3 linked regions of the Callithrix jacchus genome follow. The protein of the gene in region 1 purifies or fractionates together with the protein of each later gene. This does not show direct contact. Links are inferred from orthologs where the notes say so. Each region holds a gene or a part of one and is shown in the gene's direction. Other genes may lie near its edges.

The links. Proteins that work in one complex are often made in the same cells at the same time.
Region 2: the proteins of FBXO10 (region 1) and PDE6D purify together in Homo sapiens (affinity purification with mass spectrometry; 3 studies listed by BioGRID and IntAct, with this or other methods). This does not show direct contact. The link is inferred for Callithrix jacchus from reciprocal best matches to the Homo sapiens genes FBXO10 and PDE6D.
Region 3: the proteins of FBXO10 (region 1) and ACSL4 purify together in Homo sapiens (affinity purification with western blotting; 3 studies listed by BioGRID, with this or other methods). This does not show direct contact. The link is inferred for Callithrix jacchus from reciprocal best matches to the Homo sapiens genes FBXO10 and ACSL4.

What each region holds. Positions count from the first base shown.
Region 1 is NC_133502.1:144,508,100-144,511,610, reverse strand, and holds part of FBXO10 (F-box only protein 10), read left to right. Parts: intron 1-2,612; 5' UTR 2,613-2,618; coding exon 2,619-3,203; intron 3,204-3,511. UniProt on the Homo sapiens protein: Substrate-recognition component of the SCF (SKP1-CUL1-F-box protein)-type E3 ubiquitin ligase complex. Mediates the ubiquitination and degradation of BCL2, an antiapoptotic protein, thereby playing a role in apoptosis by controlling the stability of BCL2.
Region 2 is NC_133507.1:153,232,628-153,236,674, reverse strand, and holds the start of PDE6D (retinal rod rhodopsin-sensitive cGMP 3',5'-cyclic phosphodiesterase subunit delta), read left to right. Parts: upstream 1-1,245; 5' UTR 1,246-1,429; coding exon 1,430-1,479; intron 1,480-4,047. UniProt on the Homo sapiens protein: Promotes the release of prenylated target proteins from cellular membranes. Modulates the activity of prenylated or palmitoylated Ras family members by regulating their subcellular location.
Region 3 is NC_133524.1:106,114,342-106,118,360, reverse strand, and holds the start of ACSL4 (long-chain-fatty-acid--CoA ligase 4), read left to right. Parts: upstream 1-1,217; 5' UTR 1,218-1,240; coding exon 1,241-1,324; intron 1,325-4,019. UniProt on the Homo sapiens protein: Catalyzes the conversion of long-chain fatty acids to their active form acyl-CoA for both synthesis of cellular lipids, and degradation via beta-oxidation. Preferentially activates arachidonate and eicosapentaenoate as substrates.

The sequences.
Region 1 (3,511 bases):
ACCTGTAATCTCAGCTATTCAGGAGGCTGAGGCAGGAGAATTACTTGAACCTGCGAGGCAGAGGTTGCAGTGAGCTAAGATTGCACCACTGTACTCCAGCTTGGACAACAGAATGAGACTCTGTCTCAGGGAAAAACAAACCTGAGAAAGTATAGCTAAAGAAATAAATGAAGAACAGGAAGCATCAGTGTTATAGAAGCTGCCATAAATGAACTGGCATCCATCTGGGGAAGTGGCAGATATCAGGAGCCCAGCCTTTTCTCTGTAATACTTAATCCAGAGCCCAGCTTTTCTCTGCTGTTGCTGAGGACTTAGTAAAGTCTCTCTGGTGATCACTAGAGACGAACCTACATATCTGGGTTCCAGTACAAATCTGTAGAATTAAAGCCACACCAGTCTTGACGAAGCTCAGCATTTCTTTCATACTGAATCACACATTTGTGCTCCTAGCCTTCTTGGGGCTTAGATAACTAACAAGTATGATTAGCATTTTCATAAAATTGCAAGAATACCCAAGGCTCTGGAGAGGTTAACAATTTGATGAAGGTCAGTTGTTTCTAGTCCTACTTTATTGATTGATTGAGATGGAGTCGCAATGATTGATAATGATTGAGTTGGAGTCACACTCTGTCACTCAGACTGGAGTATAGTAAAGCAATCTTAGCTTACTGCAACCTCCACGTCCCGGGTTCAGATGATTCTCCTGCCTCAGCCTCCCAAGTAGCTGGGATTACAAGTATCCACCACCAGGCCTAGCTAATTTTGGTTTGGTTTGGTTTTGAAAGAGTCCCACTCTTGTCACCTAGGCTGGAGTGTAGTGGTGTGACCTCGACTCTCTGCAACCTCCACCTCCCAGGCGGGTTCAAGCAGTTCTCCTGTCTTGGCCTCCTGAGTTGCTGGAACTACAGGTGCACACCACCATGCTCAGCTAATTATTTTTTAGTAGAGATAGGGTTTCACCATATTGGTCAGGTTGTCTCCAACTCCTGACCTCTAGTCACCCCCTACTCAGCCTCCCAAAGTGCTGGGATTATAGGCATGAGCCACTGCGCTAAGCCTAATTTTTGTATTTTTTAGTAGAAATGATGTTTCACCATGTTGACCAGGCTGGTCTTGAACCCCTGGCCTCAGGTGATCCTCCCCACCCACCTTGGCCTCCCAAAGTGCTGGGATTACAGGTGTAAGCCACTGTGTCCAGCCTTGGTCCTACTTTCTAGTTGTCTAGAGACTATAGGGTTTCAGACTTGGAAGTTGCTCTAAGTCATCTATTTGGCTCCCTTGCTTTTTAGGTGGGAAAAATGACACTCATCAATGAGAGGGCTTGAACTAGGTTTAAAAAACAAATAAATGAAGCTGGCTTACATTATCAGGGATATCTGATACATTCAAAGGGCAAAGATAAAGCTGAGCTTTGAGAGTAGGCTAGAGCCATGACCTGCAGTGCTATAGAGAAACTGGATGCCCCTTGCTTCTGCCCTTTTCTCTGCTTTTTTCATTCTTCTCTCATTGTAGATCAGCTTCTTCTGTCTTGCCTCCTCCTGTGCCCCAGCCTGGGGAAAATGATAACCAGAGGCTATTCCTAAGGAAAAAGGCCACTCATTCCCCACCATTCAGGAATGAGGCCAACCTGATTCTAGAATTGCAACTCCTGTTCTCCTAGAAAAGGTCTTGATGGCCCCATTAGAACCATCCAGAGTCCAATCAGTTGCAGTCAAGGGGTTAGGGATCCTTTGTTCTACACATACATCTGCAGGGAACCCTACCTCTGTAATCATGTGATATAAATCACTGGTAGAGGAGAAGAAGAGTTTTCCAGAAAAAGCAAGTAGGTAGATAGCTGGGCAGCCAGCCCATGGGTGTTCAGAATAACGAATAACTGCTCAGGATAACCAATGGCAGAGCCGGATCAAAACCCACAGCATCTGACTCAGTAGTAGTTCCTTCCTGGGGCTGTCCCACTTGGGGAAACAGTAATTACTTGATCTGGGAACGAGCAGAGACAGACAGACGGACAGTCACTGCCTCAGTTCTCATTCCTGTCAGTGTCAGGAGATAGAAGTCTCTTCCTTGAGAGTATAGGGGATCCAGAGCTCTAGGACTCTAACAGCCAAAGGTGGGTTCCCTCTTAGGAGTACAGGCTTGTCTAGTTGCAAGTCACAGAAACCCAAATCAAACCAGCAAAAGGGGGATTTAGTAGAAGGCCATTGGGATATCCTACAAAATTGAAAGAAGCACTGTAGATTCCAAGGCATCTTTAAGAATCTGGAATCAGTACTACTAGGACACACACACATGTGTTCACCTTTTTTTCTTCCTCTTTTTGAAATGTCATCTTTCTGTTTGGCTCTGATATCACAAGGTTTTCTCTACAAGGTGGGGAACCTGGAAGTTCTGGAGTCATATCCTTATAGCATCTGACCATAGAGAAAAGAGAGTCTTTCCAGCTAATTCCTGGTGGAAAACTCTAGGGTAGGATTCAGTTTGAAAGGATAGAGTCCTCTGACTGACTGGACCTTGTTTACTTGCTCAGAAAATGGCAATGAGGTATTTTAAGAAAGGGACTGGTAAGGAGGAGAGATGGAAACCTTTTTTGTTTTGTGTCTGTCTCCTAGGTGACCATGGAGACTGGTGGCCTCCCCTTGGAGCTATGGCGCATGATCTTAGCCTACCTGCACCTTCCTGACCTGGGCCGCTGCAGCCTGGTATGCAGGGCCTGGTATGAACTGATCCTCAGTCTTGACAGTACCCGCTGGCGGCAGCTGTGTCTGGGTTGCACCAAGTGCCGCCATCCCAACTGGCCCAACCAGCCAGATGTGGAGCCTGAGTCTTGGAGAGAAGCCTTCAAGCAGCATTACCTTGCCTCTAAGACATGGACCAAGAATGCCTTGGACTTGGAGTCTTCCGTCTGCTTTTCTCTTTTCCGCCGGAGGAAGGAACGACGTACCCTGAGTGTTGGGCCAGGCCACGAGTTTGACAGCCTGGGCAGTGCCTTGGCCATGGCCAGCCTGTATGACCGAATCGTGCTCTTCCCAGGTGTGTACGAAGAGCAAGGTGAAATCGTCCTGAAGGTGCCCGTGGAGATTGTGGGGCATGGGAAGTTGGGTGAAGTGGCCCTGCTAGCCAGCATCGATCAGCACTGCTCAACCACACGCCTATGCAACCTCGTCTTCATGCCAGCCTGGTTCTCACCCTTCATGTATAAGGTGGGTGTCCACATCAATAGGCCTTTCTAGTCCTGACCCCAGAGACTTGGCTTCTTTTTGGGGTTGTAATCCCTTTTTTTTGTTGGAATCGAAAGTTAGGAGTTAGTATTATGCTCATACTCCTCTGAGTGCTGAACCAGTTGAAAAATAGGCACATGATCAGCATAGTTCAGAATTCTGCTTTCTTCCTGGTAAAGCTGTATTTAAAAATGTGGCTTGGGCTTGGAGCCAGAATTCTTTTCCACATTTTCCCTTTCCAACTGGACTAACTGGAGCCACCAGTGGCATGCCACTTGGTGACAGGAAGC
Region 2 (4,047 bases), on another chromosome or scaffold:
CCCAGATGGGTGAAAGCGAGGACAGGCAGAGGAAGGAAGGCCAAGAGAAGGACATAGGAGGTCTCCAAGGAAACCGTGGCTCACACTGCAATTTTACCTACTTCCTGAAATCACGTTAAATGTCACTTTGAGTGGCAAAGAACAAAACACCAAGTCATACCTAGGCTGAAAATATACAAATATCACACTCCCTTACTTACAAGAAATCACCAAATAAATGCTACCTAATCTCTGGGTGTTTCAACACTGGATGGGAAAACCGTTCAAGGAGAATAAGAATTCACATTGCCATCCTGCTAAAAATATCACCTCCTTAGTGTGGTGCAGAGTCCGGACTGCAAGTCAGCAGACTTAGGGCCGAATTCTAACTCCGCCCGAACTTGCTGTGATCTGCGACCAATCCCTTCGCCTCTCTGGGCCTCAGTTTCCTCATACATAAAAACAGGGTGTAGATTAGCAAAGTCCCTTTCTGTATTGATATCGTGTGTACAACCCATAGCTCTCACGATCCAAAGCAGGAATACAGCAAAAACCCCTGAAAAACACGTAAAAGACGCCTCAGACCAACAAACAAGCACGACTTGAAGAAGTCATTTTGTTATCTTTCACAGTTCAATCAGTGTTTTTGTTTGTTGTTTGGTGCCTTACCATGATTTGCAGAAGATGTCTGAGTTCCATGTAAACAGAAGGTGACTCTCTGCGGGTGTCATCTTCTTCGGAGGGTGAGAAGGGTCTTCCCGCCTGGTTTCAAGTCTCAGGATTCCGAAACCACCAACTCAGCTGGCGGGTTTATGAATTTGCGCACACTGCGCGGCACACTGGAGCCTTAAGTTACAGAGGAACTGAGTGCAGGGGATGTTGGGATTTGTAGTCCCCAGGCCTCTTTGTAGTGCGCTGGGATCTGTGGTCCCTGAGTGCACCGCTGGCATGCTGGGAAATGTAGTCTGTCGCATCTCACAGTGCAACTAGCTGCCGTCTCACAGTGCAACTAGCTGCCGGTTAGTGTGCTCAGCGGCTAGAGCAGGTCCCTAAAGCCTCTGCATATCCGAAGGCAACCCTCCGCTGGGACAAACTCTAGGCAACAACACCAGATGAATATTATGTCCTTTGGGACTTCCCGGGGTGGGCCCTTCCCATTGACGTTCACAGTCCCCCTGCGAAGCCGCTGCGCGCTCCTATTGGCTGATTGGGTTGCCAATTGCCAAGGCGGGCTTTCCATTGGTTCCAGGAGGGCACTCGAGGCTTGGGGGAAGGAGAAGGGATCAGGAGCGGGAGCTGAGGGGAGAAAGAGGCCGGTCCGGGTTTGGCCGCTGCTGCTGCTCTCCCGAGGTCTCCAGGCCGGACTGCGGCTCCATCCTCGGCTCCTGGGCACCGTCTACGAGGCTCCGCCAACCAGAGTGAGAAAGCCGCGGGCGGCGACTGCCGCATCATGTCAACCAAGGACGAGCGAGCCAGGGAGATCCTGAGGGGCTTCAAACTGTATCCGCCCGGGAGCTGGGCGGGGCCGGGAGGACTTGGGAGATTGCCGCTCCCTGAGGAGACTGGCAGGGGGCGGGGGCCGCGCCAGGTGGGCCCCACCGAAGAAGGGCCGCGGGAGGGGAAAGGAAAGGAACAGCTTGCCCGGCCCCGGGAGGGACCGGGCGCGAGAGGCGGCCCCAGGGGCGTCCGGAGGAAGGACTGGGACGTTGACGGGAGCCCCGGGAGGTGGCGGGTGGGGACGGTGGAGCCTGGGGGACGGGGCTGCTAGAGGCGCCGGGCTTCGGAAACGCTGTCAGAGAGGCCGGCTGGATTCCGATCCCCGGCCGGGACCCAGAGGCCGGGAGGGAGCTGCGGCCCGCAGGGAAGGGCTGAGGGGGCGCGGTGGGCTGATCTCTCAAACTAGAAGCCCTCTGGCGGGAAGCCCACCTGGGGAGCGCGGAACGGTGACTTGGAGCGGGCGACCTTGTGTGGGACAATTACCAGTGCTTTTTAAAACTCTCTTAGGTCCCCCACCGCACCGCACCCCACCCCCGTCTGGTTTCCACAACTTCTTTTCCAAACCTGTGGCTTCTTCCAGGGCTGGAGTAGTTGGGGGATGTGGGGAAACAGAAATCCAAGATCGACCTTGTCTTAACACTCTTGGCCTTCTGAGGCATTGGTTACTGCCTCCCCCTCAGCGCCTCGGTTTTCTTTCCAGCTAGATGGGGACCGTAGGCTTGGGTGCGGGGTGCCGCGCTGGGACTCCTAGCCGAGGTGTCTTTGCTGGCTCCTGTCGTTGTGGTTAACGCCTGGCGGTGGTGGAGCTGTCCAGCAAAGGTGTGATGTGGCTGGGGCCACGGTAGACTAGAGTTGGGTAGAAAAATCATTGCCTCGGGCCTATTGTGGTGCCACTTTTGCAACCTCTCCTCGATGTGGCAAGGAAGCTTTGTGTTTTCGTCGAGTGTGTTAGGCTGTCACCATATGATGCTGATGAAAAAAATGCAAACTTGTATCTTCACATTTTCCATTCTCCTGCCGACTTTAATCTCTTCATACATCTTGTCTGTAATCTATAGTGCGGAACGAACTTAAATTCCCCCCGCGGTGAAAAGGTAGTCATCACTTTTGGGCTCCTCCCTTGGAGGTTTAGTGCACTGTTCTCTTGGTCTGCTGTTGTGTTTTCACATTGTCCATGTCATCCTTACAAATTTTAATTGCTTTGCTATGATCAGAAACCAAGTTGGTAATACATTTTAGATCACAGTGCAAAAAGTACAAGTGAGATTTTTCAAATGGAAATTGATCTTTGCTTTTTAAAAAAATAAAGGCTGTATCCCCTTTGCATACTACCGTTTGTGATAAACTTTAAGTTACTTTTATGTAGTGGTTTAGTGGCAGCCTCTTTTACCTCCATATGCCTTTCTGTGTTTCTCTCCATAATGGATCATATAGGTATATAGGGATGACTAAAGTGCTAGAAAAGCTATGACATGGATTTTATTTTCCCTGAATTATGTTATTACTTAACAAGTAACAATGTAATAATATTGTTACTTAACATGCAGTGTAGGCAGTAAACCAGAGACTATGGAGAATTGAGAGGTTGAGAGGTTTCAGAAGCAGCGTTTTCATCTGATTGGAAAAACCATATTGCTGAAAAGAAGAAAGGTCTTTTTAATGGCTTTTGAACAAGCAAAGAAGTTTGAGCTTCTCGCTTTCAGTCTTGGCTCTTGAACCTGTTGAGAAAGAGGGTAAGAGACAAATACAGGAAAGAGTAGAAAGCAGAATCTGTGTCAGCCCACTAGAAGGAAAAGTGAATCAACGGATTCAGTGATGTCAGTGCACCCAGAAACAGGCTTTCAGGGAGAGCTTGACCTGAGCTAATTAAATCCTAAAGCACAAGGGAAGCAGCCACATCAAAAAGTTAGCATGAGAGCAGTGGCGTGCTCATCCTCTGGTAGTCTTTATTGGGCATCTGGGGAGTAAGAGAGAAAAGAAAAGCAGGAACGTTAGGATATGCTGCTACCTTCAGGAAAAAGTAAAATTAATGTTGGCCAGGTGCAGTGACTCACATCTCTCATCCCAGCACTTTGGGAGGCTGAGGTGGGCAGATCACCTTAGGTCGGGTGTTCGAGACCATCCTGACCAACATGGAGAAATGCTGTTTCTACAAAAAATGCAAAACTAGCTGGGTGTGGTGGTGTATGCCTGCAATCCCAGCTACTCAGGAGGCTGAGGCAGGAGATCGCTTGCACCCAGGAGGCAGAGGTTGCTTTGAGCCAAGATTGAGCCATTACACTCCGGTCTGGGCAACAAGAGTGAAACTCCATCTCAAAAAAAAAAAAGATAAAATGTTTTAGTAAGGAACTATCTGACTGTTGTCCACTTTTTATTGGGTAAATAGATTTTCTGAACTTTCAGAGTATCTGTTTCTGAAAGAATAGTTTATCACTACAAAAAGAGCACCATTATGTTCTCCCACCAACAATATTGATAGTACTTAGTTGACCTGTTGACTAGGTCAGTCTTTTTTATTTGCCAGTTTGCACAACAAATGAGATCTTGTTTTAATTGGTATTCTCCTGGATT
Region 3 (4,019 bases), on another chromosome or scaffold:
TTTAACAGATTTATCAGTCTTTGAGTTCTTTAATTAGAATCACTTATAAGGTATATTTAGTACTGAAGAGCAGAATGAGTTTTTTTTTTTAAATCATGATAAAATTTTGTATTATGGTGGTCAGGCAGCTGAATTATAGTCATTTAATTGGCCATTTTATAAGAAATGGTTTAAGACTACATTGTCAAATAATTTTTTAACTGTCTGACATATTGGAAACAACATCGACCAATAACTAACCTATTAAACTTGTTCATCCTCTAGCAAATGGGGAGGGCAGATCATGTGGCAAAAGAAGGCACAATTGTAAAATTCTCCTTGTAATATGAGGATATTCCTATGGGAAATACTACTGCTGCTTAAAAGATTTTTTGAAACCTACACTCATGGTTGAAAGCCCTGTGTTGTATTACTTTATTATAATAAATATGTAAGACGACAGGAGATAGATGTATAACCTATAGATATTTTGTATATTCTTCACTTGAACAAAACACATTTATTATAAAAGTTAACTTTAAATTCTATAGCCCAATTATGTTTGGTTAGCTTATGTTAAAATCATCTATATATTCCAACAGAGAAAAAGCGCCCAGTAAATCAGACTTTGTAGATCAAATAAAAGTCTGCCCTGCCCCATGGTGCAATGGGCAGTTTAATTTAGCAGCAAGGTTTTATGTACAGGGACCTGCAACAGTTACTCTTTAGCATCAGTTGTACAATGTTGGCATTGTCATTATGCTCTCTGCTCCCCTTCTACAGCACTGAACCATTTGTATTGCTCTCTAAACATATATCGCACAGAATTTAGTTTTTCTCCCTTTTTCATTGTTTAATAAAGTTTGGTTATAGCATCATGCTTAGCCAGTAGGTGTCACTTGTAGCCTGATTTATCCTCAAGATTCCTTTAAATGTAAGCTTTGGATTAAATTATTCACAACCAATTATTGGATTAAGTTGTATACAACCAATTCCCAACTTTAGAAAGCTACATATTTAAAAATCAAGTTTGTCTTGATCACTTAAAATGAGGAATAGATGTATAATTCTACACAGTGTATGTGAAGTGTGTAGGCAGCAACATTGGCTCCTAGAGCTCCGCATGTTAACATATATAGATAGGATACCAATTATAACATCCTATGACCTAGAAACAACCTTATCTGATGCATGCCGGGGATCATCTTCTTAAGGCATGATGGGAGGGAACTCACCCTAGAGCATTGAAAGTATTGTCAACATGGCAGCTGAGGTGCTTTCTTTGCTGGGAAAAGCTGGGAAGAGACTGGCAGAATGGCGACTTCAGGAGTTAATACGTCTCCAGGTGATGAAGTAAACAGGTTCAGTTTATCTTGTGAGAGACGCACCCAAAGATCAGTCATAACTGTGAGACGGTTTCAAACTAGCCAGGCACAGGTGTTTTGTGTTGGTATACGGCATCTATATAGTCATCTTAGGTTTTGTTTTGCTTTTCTCAGTTTTAAAATGTATTATAATTACTGTATATTTGAGCTTAGGGTTTGATTGTGCAAGTCATTTCCTATTGAGTAGACTGCTTGTTATTTGGAGTATAACAATTTGAATCAGATGAGACAAGTGCTGTACTAATACATATATTTCACATGATTATTTTGTCTTGCCGACTGATGAAACGACTCTTAATGCCTTTATTTTCTCAAGGTATTGGCATTCTCTAAGTTTTAATGTTAAAGTATAAAGTTAATTGTAATGCCTCCTGTAAAGTTTGATTTCATTTGCAAAGTGAAACCATTCTTACTCAGTCTAGCAGTTGAACTTTTTCTTGTATGTTTTACAATCATTTAGAAGTTTTTAATAGTGTGTGAAAGAAAATAAGATTTTAAGGAAGCACTCCACCCCTTTATAAAAGTCTTTGTGATGCAACATCTATTTAGAAATAGGATCTTTTAAAGTACAGCAGGTATTCTTATCTGTTTAATCTCTTGGAACTTTTATAATTGTTTTCTGATTTAATGTTTACTAGTCTGTAACTAATCTTTTTCAGAAGGCACATTGTCTCTTTATTTTTTATTTAATTGCTCCTAATGTGTAATTTGAAAATGAGACTTTTAAAAATTAGCGCTTATATAGTTAACTGTTTATTTTCAAATTGACTTAAAAACTTTTTGTAAGATCTTATGTCAAGGACAAAGTTAATTTGTCACTACTGTGTGTTTCAACTTAGCAGATGCATGGATCCTTGCTTGGTTTAGTTCATTTTCTAAAACTTTTGAAAAAATGTCTTGGCATTAACCAACCGCAGTTCAGTAGTTTTTCTCTTTTATTCTCAAATTGGTGTTATGTCACATGCTTCTGGGAAAGATGATTTCTTCTTTTAAATTCAGACTTTAATTAATATGTAATGTTTACATTGTGTACTAGAGCTTAATGTATCACTAACACTTTTTGTGTTTAACCTATCTCAGAGTGTTTGAAGTAACTGGAATGAAATACTTAACATTAAACCTCACCTCAGAACAAAAAAATAAAATAAAATTGAATCTGATGTTTCACTAAAACTTCTAGTACTTACTGGACATCTAAAGAGCCCCCCTCTTCCCACACATAATGTCTTAGGATATAGGACAGATCAGTGCTCAAAATTGTTGCCAGTATTTTTTCATACCCAAAGTTTGTCACTCTCACTTATTTAGATTATACCAGTGTGACCAGGATCACAGACAATTGAGCTAAGAACATGGACTTTAAAATCAAATCGACCTGGGTTCAGATCTCTACTCAGCTGTGCTATCTTGGGCAACTTAATCTCTCTGAGTCTGTTATATCCTTAAAATGAAGATATTACCCCAAAGGAGTCTTCTGAAGGATTAAATGAGATAATATATCCAAAGGACTTAGCACAGTGCCTAGCCTGTAGTAAATGCTCAATACCTGGTTATTACTAAGATTCCCATATGGAATGGTAAAGTTCAGCAGGAGCAATTAACTATCCAATGACTGAAGATAATACCCTGCCTTTTTCTGGCTGACATACAAATACGTTACTTGATCAAGGAAGCACCACTCAAAGTTCATGTCCTCCTAATGGTGGGATAGCAGTAACACTCTTCATACTTGGAAGGACCACATGCCTTTGAAAGTATCAGTGAAAATGCACATAGTGTAAATTGTGTAACCTTCATGCTTTTATACCACGCATCTTTTCTCTCTGTGCAACAGGCAGTTTATCCAGTTTTATGTTTTCTATTAAGCAACTAACAACATGTTCAAGTTTATTTTAATTACCAGGAATTTTAAGAGTATAGTATTTCCTAGGATGTTGGCATGGACAAGTGATTGCTTTTTAAGATGATTAAAGTTAGCTACCTTAACGTTATTGTACTTGCATATATTTTTACCTTATAGAATTAGAATTCAGTGTACATTCTTAATTCATTAAACAATTTTACTGACGCTAATAAACAAAGGCTCTGTTCCAGTCACAGATTCAGCAGCAAATGAGACAAACTCTCTGCCTCGTGAAGCTGATATTCTAATAGGGACATAGACAGTAAACATGAAAAATAAAACACATGGTATATTAGTGAAAATACTAAGAAAATAATAATGCAAGTAAGGGATAGAAAGTGTGGGAAAACAATTTTAAAAGAAGGTGGCTGGAGAAATGCCTCACTGAGAAGGTGTTCTTTGAGTAAGAAAAAGAAAAGGAGGCAAGAGAATAAGCTATGTAGGTGTCTTGGAAGAGCATTCTAGACAGAGAGAACATCAAGTACAGAGGTCATGAGGCAGGAACAAAAGGGACTACAGAAGAATGTTCCAGCGAAAGCATACTAGGAGGTAAAGTCAGACCCTTTAGGGGTAGGGGAAAGATTATCTAGTCTTGTACGTTACAGTAAGGACTTTAGCTTATATTCTGGGTGAGTCATATGGGGATTCTTTGAAAGATTTTGAGCAGAGGAATGGTATGATCTAACTTACATTTTGAGAATAGTACTCTGGCTTCTGAGTTTAGAATTTATAGTAGAGGTACAAAGTGGAAG